Linked DNA regions of Ovis aries. The protein of the gene in region 1 binds, or shares a complex with, the protein of each later gene. Links are inferred from orthologs where the notes say so. Each region holds a gene or a part of one and is shown in the gene's direction. Other genes may lie near its edges.

Region 1 (3,826 bases):
AAATGTGCAGATATCCAAGCAGAATATTTAGGGATGACTAACTTCAGAAACATTACAATTATTTTGCTGAAAAATTAATTTATATCGTCAATATGACATTTATACTACCAATTTAAAATTACACTGCATCTTTATAATGCTTTGAATCATTGGTTAAAAAAACTTTATAAATGTATTTTTGTAATTCAGTAGTTGAATCACTATAGATCAAGTAATATCCATAGGCAGACTTCCCTTGTTTATAGAATCAGACATTTTAAGGAGATATTGTAGAGATGGCAGAAGTCACTTGAATAATTTTAGTTCACAGAGACAGATTTGGCAAAATAGAGAGTAAGTGGAACAGCAAAGGTGAGAACTCAGATACATTGTTTTTCTGTTGCATTGAAAGGGAACAAATAGATTTTAATGGTTGAGGTAAGTTATATAGAGGAACATACTTGTATTTTTGGCTGGACAAAGACACATTAAGAGATTTCCCCTGTGATAACAGTATTGCTGATGGAGATGCTAATAAAACTTTTCTATTTGAGGTTTGTTTATAAGAGCAAACCTTTGGTTTTATTGGGTAGCAGTAACTTTTACCTTAAGCAAGATATAAAGCTCAAATAATGACAAAGCATTAAAAGAAAAAGGCTGTTAATAGCTTTGTGTGATAATGGATAGAATTTATAACAAGGTAACTCTGACAGCAATCTTCCTTTTGTCCAACATCTTAAAAATAGGATATGGGTTGGGCAAATTGTTCTGTCTCTTACTTTTTGGTTTTTTAAAAATACTTTATATACTTTTGAAGTGCTTTCACATCTATTCTCATTTTATTTTTGGCAACCTTCTGAAAGCTCCCGCCCCCCCCCCCCCACCAGTAATGCCAACAATAACAGTTATAATAATAGGTTAAAAAATAAGTATCAAAGCTGCTCAGTATTCTGTTCCATAGCGTCATCTGGGCAGCTCTTTGGTTTTAGTCTCTCAGTCATGTCCGACTCTTTGAGACCTCATGAACCCACCAGGCTCCTCTATCCATGGGATTTCCCAGACAAGAATACTGGAGTGGGTTGCCATTTCCTTCTCTGGGCAGTAGTAGGAGAGAAATCCTGGAAAAGAGATCATTGTGCCTTGTTCCTCTGAGACTGAGACCTGTTATTGTGGTTATAGGAAAGGCTTTATGGTATAATTTAAAGGTACAGACTGGGTAACAAAAGCCAAAATCAGGTGATTTTAAATGTGAATACTCATTAACTTTCAAATTACTGCCAGGCAAATGATCACAGAACATAAGACTCTGAACTCTTAAGAGGGAGATGAGGTTAGGAGATATAACCGGTTAAACTAAGCAAGGAATAATAAAAACCAGACATAGCAACCAGTAATACTGTATTGTTGGGTCCCATTGACTGTTTTGACTGTAACAACATAGAAATTATAACTGAAAATTGTGTGGGCCTTCTATGTGTAGTGATCTTCTCTGTTAAATATGAATTGTATTAAATAGTCATAAAACTTTTGTTACAATATGCAGTCATCAAGTCATTCAGTTTAACTAAGGCAAATGATCTTTTTACAATGACCATTCCTTTAAACTTACATCTTCTAAAATAAGTTTTAGAGAGTTAGAAAAATGACTATTGTGTTAATTTGTTTTGAATTTGTAAAAACATGTTACCTTTTTTTTTTAAACTTTATTTTACTTTACAACACTATACCTATTTTAAAATGTGAGAAACAGTCTTTTTCAACAATCTTAAATTTTTATTTTCCCTTTAAAGCCTAAACTATACAGATCTGTGATCGAAGATGTTATTAATGATGTGAGAGACATCTTTTTGGATGATGGAGTCGATGAACAAGTTCTGATGGAACTAAAAACTGTGAGTTTGCCTTGTTTTTTTCTTTTTTAACACTCTTCATTGAAAAACTATACTCCCATTATTTTTTCATATGATGACCATTTGACTTTGTTGCAGGAAGCGGTGTAATTAGTGAAGGGTGCTTGTTTTGAATACCAGTTCTACCATACATTCTTCCTCTGACCTTAGGCAAACCACTTATATTTCAGTTTCCGTATATGTCAGATGGGAGTTCATAGTACTTACCTTTTAGGTTTGTTTTGAGGATTAAATGTAATAACTATCTGAAGTGTTTAGCACAGTGCCTGGCGATAGTATTAGCTGTTATTAGTGGGCAGTTTCATTTATGGTCTAATAACTTCATATTTACATTCCTATAAGGTTTTGTTTTCCTTTTTTTTGTCTCAATGTCTGGATATTCTAAAATGTGTATGCTGTAGAGATTGAGCAAGTGCTTGATCAGTTTCACATTCTGGAGTCGGATTTTCTCTATGGGCCAAGTATTTGGTTTATCATATATCCTAGTTTGGGAGCTCCTTTTCTGTCTCTTAGATTTATGTGGATTTAAGCAGAAAAATACAGATATTTTTATTTTATGTTTGTGTTTTCTTATTGCTCTAAGAGTCGTGAAATCAAGGAGTATTTTTACCTTACTGCTCAGAACTGTGATTCTCAAAATATGGTCCGTGGACTTTCCCACAGGCTCTTCCAAGGGGTCAGTGAGGTGGAGCAGTGCCCAAGTCTGAATAATCACAGTATGTCTCTCACATTTCCAGTAAAAGTTGTATTACATGAAAAAAGTGACCAGTTAAACTTGAAACTCAAATGAACAAGTGCTGTTCCTTGAGATAACTGCTCCATATGCAGCAGAAGTGCATTATGCATGCTTCATATTTTGATGCACTGACTTAAAAATATGCTTACTTTTAAGGTTGAGATAAGATCGTTGATATTAAGATATTCAATTGTTTGATATTCTGTAGTGAGATGTGTTAACATCGGCCTATCTGCATACTACACTGGACTCGCATTTTCCAAATGACCAATGCATGATGTTGCAAAATCCCTTCAAAGTTAAAGATAAATGAATGGATTTTAATCTAAGAATATGAAAAGTTAATTAGTATGTGGTCTCACATAGTACATTGCAGCTAACCTTTAAGAAACCATTACTTAAAATACTTCTTCCTTTCCCAGCTACTTAGCTGTGGGAAGACAGATTTTCTTAATATACGTCAGTGAAAACAAAGTGAATGCAGCAGATGAGAGAATCCAACTATTTTCCTTTAAGCCATTTCTCACTAAATTTTATTTGGAAGACATGGTTATTTTCATTGAAAGTATTTATGTTAACATATAATGGATACATGTTACTTTTAAGTAAGTAAAAGTTTTTTTAAAATCTTATTTAAAATTTTGTAAAAGCTCATTGAGGGACTTGCTTGGTGGTCCAGTGGCTAAGACTCCATGCTTTCAATGCAGGAGGCCGGGGTTTGATCCCTGGTCAGGGAACTAGGTCCCACATGCGGCAGCTAAGTGTTCACGTGCAGCGATTGAAGAGTGCACGTTCCACAACAGGGTGGAATATCTCATGTGCAGCAACTTAGACCCAGTGCAGCCGAGTAAATAAATAATTTTTTATTTTTAAAGCTCATTGAGGTCCTCATTAATTTGTGAAAATGATAAAGGAGCCTGAGACCAAAGAGTTTTAAAACTGCTGGCTTAGAGACTGGAAATTGAACTCCTTTAGAGCTATGTATAAATAAGAAATCACAGTTAGTGAATGCTATGTAGCACTTGTTGTGGTCTTATTTATCCATTCAACAGAAGTGTGGAGGCTGCAATTTAGCAACTTATAAATTTAAATAAAGCAAATCTCACTTGTATTGTGGTGATGAATATATCTTAGAATATATCTTAGAATATTGCAGCATCTGTAGGCAGCTTCTGTAGGGTTTTCATTAAAAGTCTCCCCA
Region 2 (3,237 bases), on another chromosome or scaffold:
ACAAGTTGCAGTACTCCCGGGTATGCTGTGTGCTTGGGGAGCTCGGGGGAGGCAGGGAACTCAGTTCCCAGGGAGATTTTTTCCAGCCATCTCGATTTCGGCTTTTAGAAAGACAGTATGGAGATGTCTGGAGCCCAGGGCAGGCATCGGTCTTTGGTTCTGATGGGACCACAGATCGATGAGGCTCAAGGGGCATCAGAGAGTCTCATTAGCCATAGGGGACATAGACCTGGATACTCATTTATACCGAATGGGTGGAGCTGTTTCTCTTCAGCATCTGGTGTGCAGTGTTCTCCAGAGCATCTCTTCCCAGGGACAGGGGCCTAGGAGGCTAAAGAGCGTCAACAGAAGGCTAGTGGGTGAGGACAAGGAGCAGAGGGAGTGAGAACTGTCCTGCAGAGCAGCAGCTGTCTGCCAGCTTTATGCCTCACCCTATAGGTTGTCTTACTGAAACATGGCTCCATTCCCCTGGGGTGATGTTTGCCGCTTCCACGATACATTAATGGGCTCAGAACTAGGGAACGTGTAGGATAGGATTAGGTTACCTGCATCCTTTCACCAGAGCTGCATTAGTTGACAGCTTGAGAGTATTCCTTCTTGATGGCTTTATGTGGTCCTGAATCAACCCCTTTTCTGGTATTCCCAGGGGCACATCATTTTGGTGTGCTAATGGCTTAATTTGATATATTTTGTAAATGTATATGTGTGTTGCTGTTTGTTTTATTAATTGTTTATTTTTGGCTCTGCTGGGTCTTTGTTGCTGCTCGAGCTATTTCTAGTTGCATTGAGCGGGGATACTCCTGGTTGCAGTGTGCAGACCTCCACTGTGGTGGCTTCTTGTTGCGGGCACTGGCCTCAGGCTCAAGGGCGGCAGTAGCTGTGGCACACAGGTTCGGTGGTTGCTGCTTGCTGGCTCAGTAGTGGTTGTGGTGCACGGGCTTAGTTGCTCCATAGCATGTGGGATCTTCCTGGACCAGGGATTGAACCTGTGTCCCCTGCATTGACAGGTGGATTCTTATCCACTGCGCCTCCAGGGAAGTCCATATATGTGTGTGTTTTTTTTTTTAAATATTCAAGCACCAGCAAAGTGTGGAGCTAATAAAACAAATAGGCATGCTGCCGCCAAACCACTTGTCACATTTTGACATTTCATCATTTTTGCTTCATGTCCCCAGAGTCTGTTTTTAAGAAATAAAACATCACATATATTGATAAAGACAGTTGTACCACCAATTGAAGAGCAGTTAGTCCATGCCCTGTGACTAAACAGTTCCTTCCATTAAATTTTTTTCTAGTATTGCATTTACTGAATAAAGATGGTGTGGATTTTCCGTTTGTGTTTTCTTAAAATTTGCAGAAAAGTTAAAAATAGAATACATACTCATTTTCATTTCACTTTTAATTTGCAGTTGTTGATACTTCGCTATATTTGCTCTATGTTTCATATAGATGTTGTGATTTTTGCTAAACCATCTGAAAGAACGTTACAGAAACCATGATACTTCTCCCCTAACTACATCAGCATGTGTGTCCTAAAAATAAGGATATTTTCTTACCTAACCACAGTATGGAGCCTAAGAAAATTAGTGTGGATTTGTACTATCTATATACAGTCTAAATTCAGCTTTTCCTAGTTATCTTCGAAATGTCCATAATTGTTTTTCGGTTTGGCTGAACTGCTTGGCTTACCAGGTCTTAGTTCCCCGACCAGGGTTTGAACCCCACACTCTTGACAGAGAAAGGACAGAGTCTGAACCGCTGGACTGCCGAGGAATTCCCCCTCATTAGCTTTTTGTTTGTGGATCTGTGATGCACGCGTTGCATTTGGTTGTTACACCTCTTTAGTCTCTTGATCTCTTGAACAGACTCTTCTCTCTCTTTTTTTTAGGTTGAGTACCTTTTTATATTTTTGTCTTCCATTACATTTTGATTCCTTAATTTCATATTTCTAAGAGTGATTCCATCTCAGGGGTCCAGGTTGCCTTCCTGTCCCACCTGTGTGTGATTACAGGCTGGCCAGGGGTGGCCCATAGATTTCCTTCATCATCTTGAAAACGTCAAAAGTAGCTTGGATTTTCCTCACTGATATGAGGGGAGAACAGTTTGCTTGACTACATTCTGGTACCTCTCTTCTTGCCTGACGTTAAATGGTAGCAGCTAGTCTCTTAAGACGGGAGTGTTTCTAGAATCAGTTTAAAGAATGGCAAACTTGAGAATTATTAAAGCTGAGTGATACTTACATGGTGGCAGTCTGTTATACCCTTCTCTGCTTTTGTGAATGTGTGAAACTTTTTTAGAAAAGGTCAGTAGTCTGGAGCTTAAAAGGTACTTTTTTCTATTGTCCCCTAGATTGTTTTAAGTGGTAATTGCATTCCCAAGCTAGTTCCAGCTCATGGATCCTGAACTGTGCGGGATGAAAGCCTCCTCTGTTAGTGCCTTGGTTCTCTGAGGAAGAGCAGTTTAGCAGCCCAAGAGTGGTGTGTAGATGGATACAGCTGACGAGAGACTGGCGGCTGCGGCCACCCTTTCATCAGATGAAGAACCTTCAGGGACAGGGCATTAGAAGGGGGGAGCCAAGCCAGACTTCACCGTCTCTCCACAGACTCACTGCTATCTCTCTCCCGCCTCAGGACTGCACATGTGAAGAGTTCTGCCCCGAGTGCTCGGTGGAGTTCACTCTGGACGTGCGGTGCAACGAAGACCAGACGCGTCACGTCACATCTCGAGACCTCATCTCCAACAGTCCCCGGGTCATTCCGGTCAGGAAGGCCCTCCCTGTTGGGACCTTTGCTGTTCTCCTGGCTCCAGTGGGCCAGATTGGGGTGGATTCTTAGAAGATGCCAACTTCCCTGTGTTACCCTCTGCCTTAATGTGAGCCTGATGCTTAGAAGTACTAATGATTCTGGACCCTCGCCAGAATGGGCAGAAACATTGGTGCTGTGGGCCCTCTGCCGCTTTAGGACCCTTTTGAAGACCATGCTACTGTTTTGACTGAGGAGGTTGTCACAGCCATGAGATAGGGGTTAGAGGCCAGTCACCAGCACAGACGGGATCCCTGGAGGTGCTGGAAGATTTCCGGGTGAGATGAGCAGCTGCTAATAAATGCCTCTGTTTGGACTCCCTGCAGGTGACATCTAGGAACCGAGATAATGACCCCAACGACTACGTGGAGCAGGATGGTAAGGCGCCCCGAGAGAGGCAGGGACTAGACCCAGCCTCTCATGTTGTCTGGTCTTC

Evidence for each region.
Region 2: GTF2A1 (region 1) and POLR2C share a complex: the UniProt entries of both Homo sapiens proteins name them as parts of the TBP-based Pol II pre-initiation complex. The link is inferred for Ovis aries from reciprocal best matches to the Homo sapiens genes GTF2A1 and POLR2C.

Annotation. Positions count from the first base shown.
Region 1 is NC_056060.1:90,688,282-90,692,107, reverse strand, and holds part of GTF2A1 (transcription initiation factor IIA subunit 1), read left to right. Parts: intron 1-1,769; coding exon 1,770-1,871; intron 1,872-3,826. UniProt on the Homo sapiens protein: TFIIA is a component of the transcription machinery of RNA polymerase II and plays an important role in transcriptional activation. TFIIA in a complex with TBP mediates transcriptional activity.
Region 2 is NC_056067.1:25,053,784-25,057,020, forward strand, and holds part of POLR2C (DNA-directed RNA polymerase II subunit RPB3), read left to right. Parts: coding exon 1-20; intron 21-2,630; coding exon 2,631-2,759; intron 2,760-3,127; coding exon 3,128-3,179; intron 3,180-3,237. UniProt on the Homo sapiens protein: Core component of RNA polymerase II (Pol II), a DNA-dependent RNA polymerase which synthesizes mRNA precursors and many functional non-coding RNAs using the four ribonucleoside triphosphates as substrates.